Linked DNA regions of Astyanax mexicanus. The protein of the gene in region 1 purifies or fractionates together with the protein of each later gene. This does not show direct contact. Links are inferred from orthologs where the notes say so. Each region holds a gene or a part of one and is shown in the gene's direction. Other genes may lie near its edges.

What was found.
Region 2: the proteins of eif2b5 (region 1) and eif2b1 purify together in Homo sapiens (affinity purification with mass spectrometry; 7 studies listed by BioGRID and IntAct, counting the BioPlex papers as one, with this or other methods). This does not show direct contact. The link is inferred for Astyanax mexicanus from reciprocal best matches to the Homo sapiens genes EIF2B5 and EIF2B1.

The regions. Positions count from the first base shown.
Region 1 is NC_064415.1:806,054-814,209, reverse strand, and holds the start of eif2b5 (translation initiation factor eIF-2B subunit epsilon), read left to right. Parts: upstream 1-4,961; 5' UTR 4,962-4,964; coding exon 4,965-5,177; intron 5,178-6,647; coding exon 6,648-6,772; intron 6,773-7,113; coding exon 7,114-7,299; intron 7,300-8,156. UniProt on the Homo sapiens protein: Acts as a component of the translation initiation factor 2B (eIF2B) complex, which catalyzes the exchange of GDP for GTP on eukaryotic initiation factor 2 (eIF2) gamma subunit.
Region 2 is NC_064429.1:3,006,503-3,014,367, forward strand, and holds the start of eif2b1 (translation initiation factor eIF-2B subunit alpha), read left to right. Parts: upstream 1-4,751; 5' UTR 4,752-4,876; coding exon 4,877-4,889; intron 4,890-7,372; coding exon 7,373-7,474; intron 7,475-7,743; coding exon 7,744-7,865. Other genes in the region: gtf2h3 (general transcription factor IIH subunit 3), read right to left, coding at 209-238, 363-425, 992-1,137, 1,619-1,725, 1,848-1,927, 4,474-4,483.

The DNA.
Region 1 (8,156 bases):
TGTGAAAACAGTAATCGTAATCGGATGCAGATCAAAACGAACTCTGGATCGGTTCTCTTGTGGTGAGAACATGATCTGGTCTCGATCCGACCCAGATATTAAATATACTCCTTTTATTACAGCTAAACTGCTGATAAGGTGCAGTTTAATCTGATATATTAGCCAGATAACGCTAATTACCACAGCTATGAACAAATGCTGTGTCTGCTGCTCCATGCTGTTTACACACATGGTCTGTGCTGCATTCACTGCTCACGGTCACACGACTATCATTAAAAAACACTGAGTTTAAAAGCACCGACGCACATTTTCAGCATTCTGTGTTAAAACAGATAAATAGATATACACGCTGGAGCACAGAATCTTCACTTTCTTGCTCCTGCGCCAGACAGCTCTGACCAATCAGAGGAGACAATGTGCTTGCGTGGTTTATTGGTGCGTATTTTGGTGCGTTTAGATTTGTGCCTGTGTGAAACCAAACCAAACAGAGGGAGAAACCGAAGCTCCAAACAAACAAATTCATCAACTGATCCGGATCAAAGAAACTTTCACAACTACAGGTGATCTTTCTGGATCTCTCAGCTTGTCCACAAGGGGGCGTTCAAAGCGTGACTTGTATTTACTGCAGTGGAGTAAAAGACTTGTACTGAATTGCACTCCTCACCTGTAGGGGGAGCCCAGGAGCTAAAATACCAAATCCCACATAATACTGCCGCTTCCTAAAGTATGAATCCACATATAATTAGACTATCTGCAGCAAGCAAGGAAATCATCAAGATTTGAAAGTTTTTTTTTTCACAAACAAATCTCTTATGTTAACAAAATGTTAGAGAAAGAATGTATGTAAAATTGTGTGTAGATACAAAATTTAGTAATTTCACTAATTTATTAGCACCACTATGTGAAAACTGATACGTTGTGCTCTCACGGCTTTGGGGCTCCCCCTACAGGTGGGGAATTTAATTCACTTTTTGCTCCACTGCAGTAAATACACATCATGTGGTTACTTTCGCACTAAAACCACTAAAACTACAACTCCCATCATTCAAGCAGACTTGTATGCTGTCAGCATGCATAATCGTTTTCCCAATCATGAACAGTTCATCTGCTCTGCATCACCTGAGTACTAATTCTATACAGCTGTTACTCGTTAGCTTTGTTTGTTTGTTTAAATACTCTTGTGTATTTTGATAACTTTGCAAAGTATTGCCAACTATTCATCACCTTTCATACCTAGTGCTTAATCTAACAGTTTACTCGTGTATGACGTTGACTTTTTTTTTAAACATATAAAACTTGTAAAGGTGGTTGAGTTATATAGTTCAGTAGAAGTGTTCTGATCCAGCAGAGTGGAAATGACCAAGACGCTACTCTCCCCCCGTTACAATATGTGTAAATAAATTAATATCAATAACTACAATCAAACAGTGACTAAATTCCTCTGATCTGTGGAAAATAGATTTACGGCTGTTTTAGTAAATCTGCCCCAAAAGTCAATATATTCACATCAATCCAGTTACAGTATTTAAGCATCCAGTTTTTATAGGTTGAGATGTTTAATCCTGATCAGTGTGCTGTTCTGTATATCCAGCCCTGTATCTCCTGCATGCGCTGAGTTTAGGACCGTACTGATTGGTGGGGGTACTACACGCACCCTCTGATTGGTGAAGGGGCTGTTAAGGTGGAACTGCTCTGTATCTGATGGTACACTGTATGTATGTAGAACTGCTGTAAATATTCCTGCTGATATTTAACCTGCTACCATGAGCCGCACCGTCCAGGTAAACTGGCGCTCTGCCGTTAGAGAACATGATGGAGATTCACTGTTTTGGAATTAAAGACATTTGTTAAGGATCATTCTGCTGGTGTGTTGTTTTGGGTTTACAGTGCTCGTTCTGAGTTAATTTGTTTTGTGTGTGTTTTTATAAAAAGAATGTTTTAATGCCTGCAGAGAACCAGTACCACCACTCTAAAAAATAATGTAAAATAAAAGGATAATTTATACTTTTAAATAACATTTAAAATAACATTCCAGACTAAAGCCAGCAAACTTCACATGAACTAGTATTATTTTTTTCTCCAATTAAACTTAGGGAGTAGGGTGCAAGATATGGTATAGGGAGTAGGGAATAGGGAGTAGGGTATAGGGTATAGGGAGTAGGGTGTGGGATATGATATAGGTAGTAGAGAGTAGGGAATAGGGAGTAGGGTATAGGGTATAGGGAGTAGGGTATAGGGAGTAGGGTGTGAGATATGATATAGGGAGTAGAGAGTAGGGTATAGTGAGTATGGTATGAAGAGTATGCTATAGGGAGTAGGGTATAGGGAGTATGGTATGAAGAGTATGCTATAGGGAGTAGGGTATAGGGAGTATGGTATGAAGAGTATGCTATAGGGAGTATGGTATGAAGAGTATGCTATAGGGAGTATGGTATGAAGAGTATGCTATAGGGAGTAGGGTATAGGGAGTATGGTATGAAGAGTATGCTATATGGAGTATGGTATGAAGAGTATGCTATAGGGAGTAGGATATAGGGAGTATGGTATGAAGAGTATGCTATAGGGAGTATGGTATAGGGAGTAGGGTATAGGGAGTATGGTATGAAGAGTATGCTATAGGGAGTAGGATATAGGGAGTATGGTATGAAGAGTATGCTATAGGGAGTAGATTATGATTATGGGAGTAAGGTGTGAGATATGGATAGGGAGTAGAGTATAGGGAGTAGGGTATATAGAGTATGCTATAGAGAGTAGATTATAATTATAGGGAGTAAGGTTTGACTTAGGGAATAGAGTAGAGGGAATATGAAATAAGGAGTATGGTAAAGGGAGTAAGTTATAATTATAGGAAAGTGTTGCCTCGTGCACATATATGGATTTTATGGGCACATATTTAAAAAAAACTGTTTTTTTTAACACTCTGCTTCACATATAATATATTGTATAAATTTAAAGGCAGCATATGGAATAGGAAGTAGGTCATAGAGAGTAGGGTATAGGTAGTAATTTATAGGGAGTAATTTAAAGGGAATCGGGTATAGGGAGTAGGACACAGGGAGCATGGTATATGTATTAGATTATAGGGAGTATATTATAGGCAGTAGGTTATGGGAAGTAGGGTATAGGGAATAGGATATAGGGAATAGGGAGTAGGTTCTAGGGAATCAGTTATAGGGAACTTAAATGGAGTAGAGTAAGAGAAGTAGGATATAGGGTGTAGGGAGTAACTTTATGATATAGAGAATATGGTAATAGGGAGCATGGTATAGGTATTACATTATAGGTGGTAGGGTATAGGGAGTAATTTAAAGTCAGTAGGGTACAGAGAGTATGTTATAGGGAGTATATAATTGGCAGTATGTTATAAGGAGTAGGGTATAGGGTATACAGAGTATTTTAAGTGGAGTGTGTTAAAGGGTGTAGGTTATAGGGAGGAAGGTATATGGAGTATATTCAGTGGCGGACTTAGCAATTTGGGGGCTCAAGGCGAATTTAGCTTGGGGGCCCATCAATAAAAAAATATTTAAAATGAATAAAAAATAATTAATATAAAATAAAAACTCATTTAAAACACAATCAAAAGCTATCTAATAGTGCGCAGAATAATATCAGTTTCAGTTAGTTTCAGTTTCAAATAATTGAAACAGCTCCCCAAAACCTCAACCTATACTTTATACTTTACAGGTCCTCACTCATCTTAATTTATTTAACTAAACTGAGTTTTCAAATTATTTCTAGCCTCGCGCTGAATTCAGCTCCGCGCTGCGGAAGAGAGAGCGAGAGAGAGCGCGAGAGAGAGCGCGAGAGAGAGCGCGCGGGCAGCGCAGTGCGGCGCGGCGCATTTTGCCTGATTTCTCTTGTTTAAATATCAATAAATATGTGAATTTAATATTTTTTTACTACCATATATTTTACTTCACTTGATAGGATCTTATTTATTATTTTTTTAAAATGCAATGCCGCGCGTGCTTTCCATGTGACTGACGCTAAACTGTTTGATGCAGCTGTTATATTATATTATGTTATATCAATACCATTTTAACGTTTTTCGTTTCTATGTTTTGAAATTCGTTAGATTCTATTTTTGTCAACATTTTGGGTTTTATTTTCGTTTGTTATTTTTCTAATAAAAATAATAGAATTTACATAATTTAAAGTAAGTCAATTACTTTTACTAGTTACATTTATAGTGGGGTAACTCCGTTAGTAACTAGTAAAGTTTAGCCTCTTTTTTCTTTTTTCGCTCACATCCCACTTGTACACTTAATTTCACCTTAATTCCGTCTTTCACAAGCAGCAGTTCGCGGTTCACCGGCATGACCACATGGCATGGATGGAATATTCCATTTTAACGCGAAAGAGAGGGGGTGTGGACAGAATCTGTATTTCTTTGTAATTTATTGTGTTGTCTTTGTTTCCATTTTAAACACACAAGAATCACCATTTATGAATCACTATCTGTGAATTACTGTCCAAAGGGCCCCAATTACCAGCTGTAGGCCAATGGGAATTTGCAGCTAAGTATGGGGCCCCTACAGTGGGCTGCAGTGGGAGGGGCCCAAGGCAGTTGCCTAGCAATGCCTCTATGCAAAGACCGCCTCTGAGTATATTATAAGGATTAGGGTATAGTTAGTAATTAAAAAGGGAGTAGGCTATAGGCAGTATGTTATAGGGAATAGGGTATAGGGAGTATTTTAAATAAAGTGTGTTAAAGGGAGTAGTTTATAGGGAGTAGTGTATAGGGAGTAAATTAAATGGAGTATAGTATATAGAGTGTGTTATATGTATAGGGAGTAATTAATAGGGAGTAGTGTATAGGGAGTAAATTAAATGGAGTATGGTATATAGAGAGTGTTATATTTATAGGGAGTATGGTATAGGGAGTGTGTAATATTTATAGGGAGTATGGTAGAGGGAGTAGGGAACAGGGAGTAGTGTATAGGGTATAGGCAGTATGGCTCTGAATGAGACGCCCCCTAGTCAGGTTCTCTCCGGGGCTCAGCGTGTGTTTTGGATCTCTGTGGCCGGGGTGGAGGGTGAGGATGTCGGCTAAAGCGGGTAAGCAGCGCCGCGGCGGAGCGGAGCCGCAGGATGAGGAGCAGCTGCCGCTGCAGGCGGTTCTGGTGGCGGACAGCTTCAACCGCCGCTTCTTCCCCATCTCCAAGGACCAGCCGCGGGTAAACCCAGCTCTCAGCCCGGGGAGCGCAGCTCTACCGCCCGCCTGCCCTCCGCGCGGGTACCGGCTAGCTTAGCGCGTTAGCTTAGCATAGTTTTTACAGTCATTTTTCCTTATAAAGGGTAACAGGCTAGCTTATCTTAGCATGTTACCTTAGCTTAGTTTTTACAATCATTTTGCCTTATGTTTTGGTATCAGGTTAGCATAGCTTAGCTTAGCATAGTTTTTACCCTCATGTTCCCATATGTACAGTGACAGTTTAGCTTAGCTTAGCTGTAGCTGTAGAATGTTTACCTCATTCAAACTCACGTAAACTTTGACATTATTAAGACTTTATAACTCTTTAAATACTGTTTTAAGCATGTCATTAATGTTATAATAAAGATTAAACTCATTAAATGTGATATATTAGTTTAATACAGAGTCTATTAGCTAAATATGAGTCCAGAATTGCATCAGATAATAAAACACTGTATTATTATTATCATAACTGTAACATATTGTCAGGATTTTATTAGTATACCATTATGGTATTATTAAGTACTATAGGGAATGCGTGTTGATGTGTATAAAACGTTTATTAAAATACAGGTTAAATGATGTGTTTACATGATTCTGGATATATAACTTAGTGTGTTTATGTGCTGGGCTGCAGTCACTGCATGTGGATTACAGTCATTAATATACAGCACTGAACAGTAAATGTAATTAGTTACTGTACTTAAGTATTTTTCTGTGTATTTGTAATTTATTGAAGTAATTTCATATTCATAACTACATTTCAAACTCCGATATCTTGCAGGGTGTACAGTAATCCACTATAGGGGTGTATATGTTGCGTTACGCTGCTTTACATTGCGTTATGTTACTTTATGTTAAGTTGTGTTACGTTATGTTGTGTTATGTTGCTTTATGTTGAGCTATATTACGTTACGTTGCTTTCCATTGTGTTCTGTTATGTTGTGTTACGTTATGTTGTGTTACGTTATGTTGTGTTACGTTATGTTGCGTTACTTTATGTTGCGTTACGTTACGTTACATTATGTTGTGTTACATTATGTTGTGTTACATTATGTTGTGTTACATTATGTTGCGTTACGTTATGTTGCGTTACTTTATGTTGCGTTACGTTACATTATGTTGTGTTACATTATGTTGTGTTACATTATGTTGCGTTACGTTATGTTGCGTTACGTTATGTTGCGTTACTTTATGTTGCGTTACGTTATGTTACGTTACGTTGCATTGCGTAATGTTTAGTTATATTAAGGCAGAGACTGGAATTAGCTGTTGAGGTACAACATGGACTGGAACAGGATCCTGCAGGAAGCAAAGATGAAGAATAATTGTTGATTATTCAACTTATCGAAATAAAGTTGGTCAGATTATTCGAGTACCCGAGTACTGATTAGTTGCAGCAGTTGTTTTTTCCAGCCTCTCTGACTCTGTTCTTCTCCACCTCTTCTTTCAGGCTCTGCTGCCTCTGGCCAACGTCTCCATGATCGACTACACTCTGGAGTTCCTGACGTCCACAGGAGTTCAGGAGACATTCGTCTTCTGCTGCTGGATGTCCAACAAGATCAAAGACCATTTACTGTGAGACACTTTACTGTTCTTACCCTTCACTGTTAATCAGGAGGGCTGTGAGAAAGTAAAATATCCATATTTTAGAGTATCGCAGAGTATTGATTTTTATTCTTTAGATGTAAAGATTGGTGTCAGAAGTGGTTAATTTTGTGTTGTATTTAAGCTCCGCCCACTACATAGTAGTGTTGCGCTATGTTGTTAGATCCCACTGTTCTGATTGGATAAAAAAGTAGGCAGCACTTTCAGCAAAATTGTTGTAAAAAGATTGAATAAATGACACCGAACAAAATCCGACATTTTTTTAAATCCATTTGAAAATCTCACTTTCCATTTTACATTTTGCTCTACAGGAAGTCTAAGTGGTGTCGTCCCACGTCTCCGAACACGGTCCACATCATCACGTCGGACCTTTACCGCTCCCTGGGGGACGTCCTGCGGGACGTGGACGCTAAGTCTCTGGTCCGGTCGGATTTCGTGCTGGTGTACGGTGACGTGGTGTCCAACATCGACCTGTCCCACGCCCTGCAGGAGCACAGGTGAGCGGGACGGGGGGACGGGACGTAGAAGAAGTAGAGTGAGGTATAGAGAGAAGTTGATAGGTAGTAGGGTATAAGGAGTAGGGTACAGAGGGTACAGGAAGTAGGGTATAGTGAGTAAAGTATAGTAAGTAGGATATATGATGTAGAGTATAGGAAGTAGAGTAAAGTATAGAGGGAAGTTGATAGGAAGTAGGGTAGTGTAGGAAGTAGGGTATAAAGAGTAGGGTATAGGGAATGGTTTAAAGGGAATAGGGTATAGGGAGCATATTATAGGGAGCATATTATAGGAAGCATATTGTAATGGTCATATTATAGGGATTAGGGTATATGGAGTGTGGTATAGGAAGTATAGTATGCTATATAGAATAGGTTATAATGGGTAGGGTACAGGCAGTAGGGTACAGAGAATAGGGTACAGGGAGTAGTTAATAGGGAGTAGGGTGCAGAGAGTAGGGTACAGGGAGTAGTTTATAGGGAGTAGGGTGCAGAGAGTAGAGTAGGGCATATAGAGTAGTGTATAGAGAGTCAGATATAGGGAGTACATTATAGAGAGTAAGGTACAGGGATTAGTTTGTAGGGAGTAGGGTGTAGGAAGTAGAGTGAGGTATAGGGAACAGGGTATAGTGAGTAGTGTATAGGGAATATGGTGTAGGAAGTAGAGTAGGGTATAAGAAGTAGGTTACAGTGAGTAGTTTATATGTAGTGGGGTATAGGGAGGAGGTTATAGTGAATATGGTTTGGGGAGTACAGTAAGGGATAAGGAGTAGGGGATTTGAAATAGGGTATAGGAAGTAAAGTACAGGGGGTACATTATAGTGATTATACTGAGTAGTTTACAGGGAGTTAGGTATAAA
Region 2 (7,865 bases), on another chromosome or scaffold:
AAGCACAACAAAGTACTAACTGCTTTTTTTAGAGGAATGTTTCATAAAGTTAGAATATTCTGTATAGGTAGTTTTAAGTCATGTCTATAAAGTAAAAAAGCTTTTGAATGTGGTGATTTCATAAATATTGCCAGGGGGTGGAGAGTTGCCTGCAAATGAAAACATCCAAACACAATGCTTTAAAAATGAATAATTAAAACAAGCTTACCTTCCAGTTCTTTAGAGACTCTGTGAATATCTGAACGTACCCATTTAGAAAAACTCTAAAGATGGCATTTCAGTACAAAAACATGAACTGTGTTTATTAGGAAAACACAATTAGGAATGTATTGCAGGTGTAATTTTTAATTGTTAAAGGATACAGCAGAGAGCTTTGGCGAGAGATCCAGCCAGTAAGGTGTCCGTTTGGTGACCTTTTACCTGTGCTTTAATAGAGAAAAATAAAAAGTTAGGTTTCAGTTTCAGTTAGAAAAATAATTACATCATTAATTTTAGCTCATAATGCTGAATTCACAGTTAAAAATAATCTTAAAGACGAAGAAATTACTGTATTTATGTTGCATAATACGCTGATGAATCTAAATAGATAGATAGATAGATAGATAGATAGATAGACAGATAGATAGATAGATAGATAAATGCATAAATGCTCATGTATCGTAGGAAACTGAGTAGCATTTCTTTATCTAGAGAAATTAATGCCTGTGTCCCGATAAGTGCACTATTTTATCATGCTATTTAGTCTGCAGTTTAAGACACAGTTTCTGTTTGCAGAGGGTGTGGCCATCTTTGAAACCCACCGGCCCACATTATGCAAATCAGTGCATTTCCATAAGCAATGATATTAATGATGTCAACGAGTCTCCCCAGCCCTACTGTCCTTACTATGGCACACATTAACAAAACATTGTAACATACTGAGTAAAATTCCAGTGGATATTCAAATGGAATCTTTGTTTGTATGAAATAATATGTAAGCTGTGTAACTTACTTCTAGCCATGAGATTCCTGATCTCCTCAGCAACGAGATCATTCGCTACAGACAGGAGCTCATATTTGCCATCACCACTGCCAGACGACACCTCATCCCCTGCAACGTCCCCCGCTTTCCAGTGCTTGTTTGGGTACAGAAAGTGACTTCAGGAGGAAAGGAGAGATGAAATCAAGATACACCTTTCAATCCCAGCTTCCTATCTGAATATTCTTTTACTAACAACAGGCATTCAGTTAAGTATACACAGATTGTCTAATTCTTACAGAAAAGCATCGCTAACAGCCTTTGCTAATGCTATGTCATTTTCAGATTTAAACACTCTAGACTATCAATTTCCACCAAGACTTCTCAGCTGTAAAATGTTTTGATAGCATTTACAGCCAAAAACAAAAAAAAAATAAGACAGGTTTACAGTGTTTTTTTTTATCAAAACATAAAGAAATGTTTTAAGTATGAATGCTGTGCCAAGGTCCTGGACAATGTTTACTGACAAACAGCAATGTCATACATTTAGATCTATGAATTTATTGTTATATTTTGTTCACCTGTAGTAATGACAAATCATCATGATTAAAACTAGCCATCAACTTCAGGGTACTCCCTAGTCCCACATCCACATCTTACCTCTCCTGACAATGGCTGGCAATGATGGCCAGTTTGTTGGTTCTGGTCATAACCAAGTGAGAGTTTGCCATGACCATCACAGCATCCAGGCATTTTGAGAGATTAAACTAAGAAAAATGAAAACAAGTTAAGGTTAGCTGAAAGAACACACGCACACAAACACAAACACACACACACACACACACACACACACACACACACACACACACACAAACACACACACACCTACCTCAGGTTCTCTCTGTGCCTGCTGACCCCACCAAATTGGGTTGACATCCACCACAATTACCAGAAGACTGACCTCATCTTCTGTAGACCAAAAGACATAGATATATTAATAAAAGCTACAATCCAGATAACTGCTCATCGCTCAGCATCTGTTAACCCTCTGTTTACCTTTACTGATATATGGCAGTGAAAGTAAATCTCACTGCTTTTCTGTGATTAAAAGGAAATTTCACTGTATATTAATTGCTACTGAACAGATGGCCTGATGTTTAGACACTAAGTTAAATGGAAGAGCTGATGTTAGGCTCTGTACAGTGAAGGAAAGGCCTGATATTTAGACGTGTTGTGCATGGTGTTCAGCTCTGCATGAACATAGCAATCAGTCCCTGTGTCAAACAATCCTTAGGTGTCCCAAAGTCTCTGAGAAGGTATAGGAGTAGAAAAGAGTAGATGAAAAAGTCTACTGGCCTGTGTACAATGGAATGTGAACAAAAGGTCTGATGTTTAGACTCTGTATATTAAATTAAAGGCCTGATGTTGAGATTGCGTACACTGAATAAAAGACCTGATATTTAGACTGGACTGTATGTTAAAGGAAGGGTCTGATTGTTAGACTCTGTATGCTGAAGAAATGGTCTGATGTTTAGAATCGTACATTGAACAAAAGGCCTGATGTTTAGAGTCTGTATGGATGTGTGATTTAAGATTAACATTTCTGGTGATAACTACAATAACATCACTGTACAGTCTATGAAAACATCTTTAGATCTATAAAAGAAAAGCAATCACTTGCAATGTGCCACTATACATCACAACAAGACTCAATATTAATGTAAACGATCAGGTACCATATGTGTTTAATGAACTGGAGGTACATTTTTACTATCCAGACTATATTACCAAGATTATTCACTTGCCTGCATTTCGTTTAGAGATGTAAGGCTTGGACAGAGCTGCTAAGCAATGGAAACCCATTGCATGAAGCTCTCTAAACTCTGTTTTTGAGCTAATCTGAAGTTACATGAAGTTTGGAGGTGTGTAGTCATGTGGTTCCTCTGTGCACTATACTCTATATAGCATCCACTGACCCCGCTCTGTTATTTTACACTGACAGAGCACAGAGTCGCTGTCATTCCCAGTCTCTTCCACTGTGTTATAATATTACTAGCAGTTGGCTGTGGAATATATTTAGTAGTGAGGAAATTTCACGACTGGACTTGTTGCACAGGTGCTGCCTCCGTTTACTGTACCACGCTGGAGTTCACTGAGCTCCTTTATAGAACAGTCTGCATGCCAAGCTGCTTGTTTTTTTAACCAAACCTGTGGCCAATGTGTGAGTGAACGGTTTTGGCAACGTAGTGTATATATCTACCCAAATGTCCAGTTTTTATTCATAAGAAACAGAAGGCTGACTAAGGCTAAAAGGATTTTGTTTAGCTGTGGAAGAAGAGGCAGAGTCAGAGCTGTTAGTAGATAAAGTAGAAAAGGAGGCTGGACAGTAGCTAAATAAGAAAAGGGAGAGGTCAGAAGACAAACCTTCTCATTCAGTGTTTTTATTTCTTTCTTTATGTAATTTATGTTCGACAGTAGATTAATATTAAACACACGAAAACAATTAAGGGATACATATGGAATTACGTAATAAACAGTAAAAAAAACCCTGATCTAATCCTGATCAACTTCAAATCAATTCAATTAAAATTTTATAAATATAGCACTTTTTACAACAAATGTGGTCACAAAGCAGCTTTACAAAGAAAAAAAGGTCTACGCCTCTTATTAGGGAGCACCACAGAGATGCCAATAATTGTGGCGACAACAGGGGCAAGGAAACACTCCCTTACATTATGAGGAAGAAACCTTAGCAAGAACCAAGACTCAGTCAGAGTCTACTCGGTTTGACCCGCTCAGTACAAAACATTAACAAATAACAAACAAATAACAGAACAAAACAACAGTACAGTACAGAGAGATAACGTTGTGGAGCTATTGCTAATGTAAAACAGGTTCTGAGTTCTAAATGTGAGTAGATCTTGTCTCTAGTTTTGCCCAAGAACTCTTATTGACATAGCACAGCATTTTAGTCACCCAGACCTGTTTCCCACACATGATGTGGTAGCTTACTAGAAGGTAGTGGTGTTATCCACTGCGCCACACTAACCACCTCCAGGAACTCCTTTAAAACGCTGAGAAAACTATTCCAGGTGACTATAGCTCATGAAGACACTGAGATTAAAATACCAAGAGTGTGCAGTTAAAAAAATATATTATTTTATTTAAGTTCTATTTGTATTTTTTTTATTCATTTGTGAAGCACTTTGAATGACCGTCGTGTATGAAAGGTGCTATATAAATAAACTTGCCTTGCCTTGGTATTTGACTGTATTTTATAAAAACCGGAGAGCCCTCTCACAGTGCAGCAGCTCTACAGCGCTAGGCTAAGCTAGCTAACTTTAGCAAATGTAAGTAACTAGGTCCGCTATCTAGAGTAGCCAAAAGCAAGGTTCGCAGCGGGTATTTAACTGTATTTAAACTAATTAACTGTATCTGTACTGCCTCCTCCCCGGTGATCCTGTAGCTCAGTTTTAGCTCGGGTTATTTCTGTTAAACGGAGCCGGTTCTCTCACCTGAGGCCATCGCTTCCTCCAGAGCTCGCTCGCGCCGGTTGTTGTCATGTGTGACGTGATCATTAGGGGACGGCTGGGTGAGTGGATTCACGCTGAGTTGTGTGGAGCTGATTTTTAGTACTACAGGAATTACAGGATAAACCCTGATCCTGCAGCCCGCTTTCTACTGTACTGTACTGTACTGTACCTCCGCTGTACTTCTGATCTGTGCGCTGTAGTGAAGCCGCTGCTCCAGAGCGCGGGGACTGCCGGGCGTTGCGTCAGCATCAGCAGCGTGCTGTGGACCTGCTGTGGAACTGGTGTTGAACCCAGGGCAGGTTACAGGTCTGATCACTGAACCCTGACCCTGATCCTGCTCTTTACCACATTTTCATCTTCACACCAGAGGAGTGGACTTTGCGGGATGGATGAAGGGGGTATGTTCTGTTCTGCTTCTCTGTCGTTGACTTGTGATTTTTGTTTTGTTTTCATCCACAGTGATCAAATGTCAACCTGTTCATTACTGTGTTTCTGAGTTCTGACACAAAAAATAACGTTTAATCTACTTAAGCTACATGTGAAGAAAAAAAAACTGATTAAACTGACACACACACCTACGGAGCCCCTGAAGGGACATTGTGTATTTTCTTTTACGTTAAAAAGTGTTGAGCAACACATTCAGTGGTGGAAGTTTTCAGAGGGGAATGATTCAGTTAGGTACCTATAGGTAGCTGTAAGCCCAGAGTTATCAATAGCCAGCTAGCTAACTCTTATTAGAAGTGCACAAAGAAGGTATCATTTTGTAGTAAAAGGCACTAGCTACATGTGAGAAAAAAACTGAGTAAAACTGATACACACCAGTTGAAAACCAGTAAATTGGAATTATTAAAAAAAATATATGTAATATTTGTATAAGTACATATAAACTTTTAGGTAAGAGTGTGTCTTATTTTAGCCCAATTTAGCCATATGTTTTTACATACATGAAAAGTAGCATAAAAAGTTTGAGTACCCTTGGTCAGAATATGTTATGATAAAGAGCAGGTTGTGGAATTAAGGAAGAAAATGGTGGAGGTCATTAATAAATTAAAATTGTAGTGTATGTAGTTTGGTTTGTTGCCTCGTCTAAGGTGGCCACTGGCAGTTTATGATATTCCGATTTCTGAGGTTGAGAGGTTAGAAAGGGTTATGAACAAGGCTATAAGGACATGGGGTTGTCGTGTTGCCTCAGTAATGGCGTGGTGTGGGAGAGGAGTGCTGGAACTGCCATTGACGAGCTTGGTTGAGGAGTTCAAATGTGCTAAGGTAGGATGTGAGATGCAGTTTTTAGGGTCAAAAGACGGGCAGTTTAAAGCAATGGCAGCAGTGACTAGGTCAGGGAGAAAGTGGAATCCTCGAGAAGCAAGAAGTGCAAAATGAGTAAACAGGGGCAGTGGATGAGATGGGAAAGTGTAGAGAAGCGGAGAATCACCTGGCGAGAGTTATGCGAGAAGTTTCTTTTGGGAGCTACATATGATGTTTTGCCAATGCCACAAAACCTTGCTCAGTGGGTGGGTGAGGATCCAAGTTATAAGTTTCGTGCAGGAAGTGGCACGCTGAAGCACATTTTGTCGGCATGTAAGGTGAGCCTGTTTCAGGGGCGATACACATGGAGGCATAATCAGGTATATCTTTTGCGGGTGAACTTGATAAGAAGCGGTTAGAAGTTAATAACATGTTGGAGGTTGGTTGCAGTAGGGTAATTATGTTTGTGAGTGGGGAGCAGCATAGTGGAGAAAGAGCACAGTGCTTGAAAACTGCTGGTAAATGGGCTGATGCACGAGATTGGAAGTTGTTAGTGGATGTAGGTAGTAAGCTGCAGATTCCTTGAGGAATCTCCAGTACCTTAAGGCAAAGTAAAGTGAAAGTAAGCGGGTAGTGTATTTTATAGAGCTGACTGTTCCGTTTGAAGATGAGGTAGATGGAGCTTATGAAAGGAAAAGGTTAAAGAATGCAGAATTGGTGGCTGAGGTAAGAGAGCGTAGGTGGCAAGCATTAGACCGGTGGAGGTAGGTGCTAATGGTTTTGTGGCAAATTCTGCAACAAGACTGCTGTCTGAGTTCATAATTAGAGGTTGTGTGCTGAGGACAGTTGTGGAGGAGTTGTCAGAGGTAGCTGAAAGATCTAGTTAATGGTTGTGGTTCAGAAGGGCTGAGGTTAGGTAGGAAAGGGAATGTGTTTGAAGGTGCTTCAACAGCAAGCTTGGAGGGGGGTGGGGGTGGGTCTGGGACGGCAAACACTGATGAAGGAAGGTGCCTACCTGACGACCCCTGAGAAGAGCTTGCTCTGAAGTTTGTGTTTTAAAATATGGGAATGGGCTGGGTGTGAGTGCTAGGTGTGGTCTTTCTTGCTGGTCTTGTTGTAGTTTCACACCTGTTGGCTCCCCTGGACTGTACGGCAGGAGGGAGGTGAAATAGGTGAGCAGAATAGGTCAAGCTGGTCTAGAGAGTGTCCTGCTCAGTCTAGTGGCACTCTTCACTCTACTCTCTACTCTGTTCTCCACTAACCTGCTCATGGACCACAAGTCCAGTAGCAATGCTCAAGTCTTTTCGAGTGGGCAACATGCATCTAAGGGTAACTACACCAGGAGCACGTTCAAGCCTGAGTCCTATTAACTTATTTTCGGAAAAAAGTTTCTGCTTAGAACTCAAAATAAAATTGATTTGTGTGCTATTGTGTTCATAAAGTGTGCTGTGGTTGGTTGTTGTCTGCTCAAATATGTGCTAGTGTATACACTGGTGACCTACATGAAAAGGAATTGAGCCTATTCCACGTGCTTTTAATTTGAGAAGTATTGTGTTCATTATTTTAGACATGGCATTTAATTATAAGTGAGGGTTGATTTTAAACATATTGCTCCTCTGGTGATTTTTGACTGCAGAGTTGGTGGAGTATTTTAGGACGCAGATGAGCCAGGATCCTGATGTGGCCTCTGCTGTAGCTGCCATACGTTCACTTCTGGAGTTCCTGAAGCGAGATCAGAGTAAGTTACAATAATTACATTATCGAGTTCTGGCTGAAAGATTGAAACTGAAAGACAAATGTTTCAAGGATTAATTTTTTGTGTCACCAAAGATCTAACATAGACCTAAACGTTTATTTGCTCAAATATCTAACTAACTTGACTCTGATTATAGTTGCATCTTGCAAGTAGGTCTGTTTGCCTCTGCTGTCTTTGATTCATTGTATGATGCAATAAATTGTATTAATTTTGGGAAATAATATTTATCTGGATGATTTGCTGTTTTACAGGTGAGACCATCCTGGGCCTGAGAGAGAACCTGACCAAAGCCATCGGCCGTCTTCAGGAGGCTGATTCTTCAGTGGCTGTTTCCTCTGGAGGAGAACTCTTCTTACGATTCATCAGTCTTACC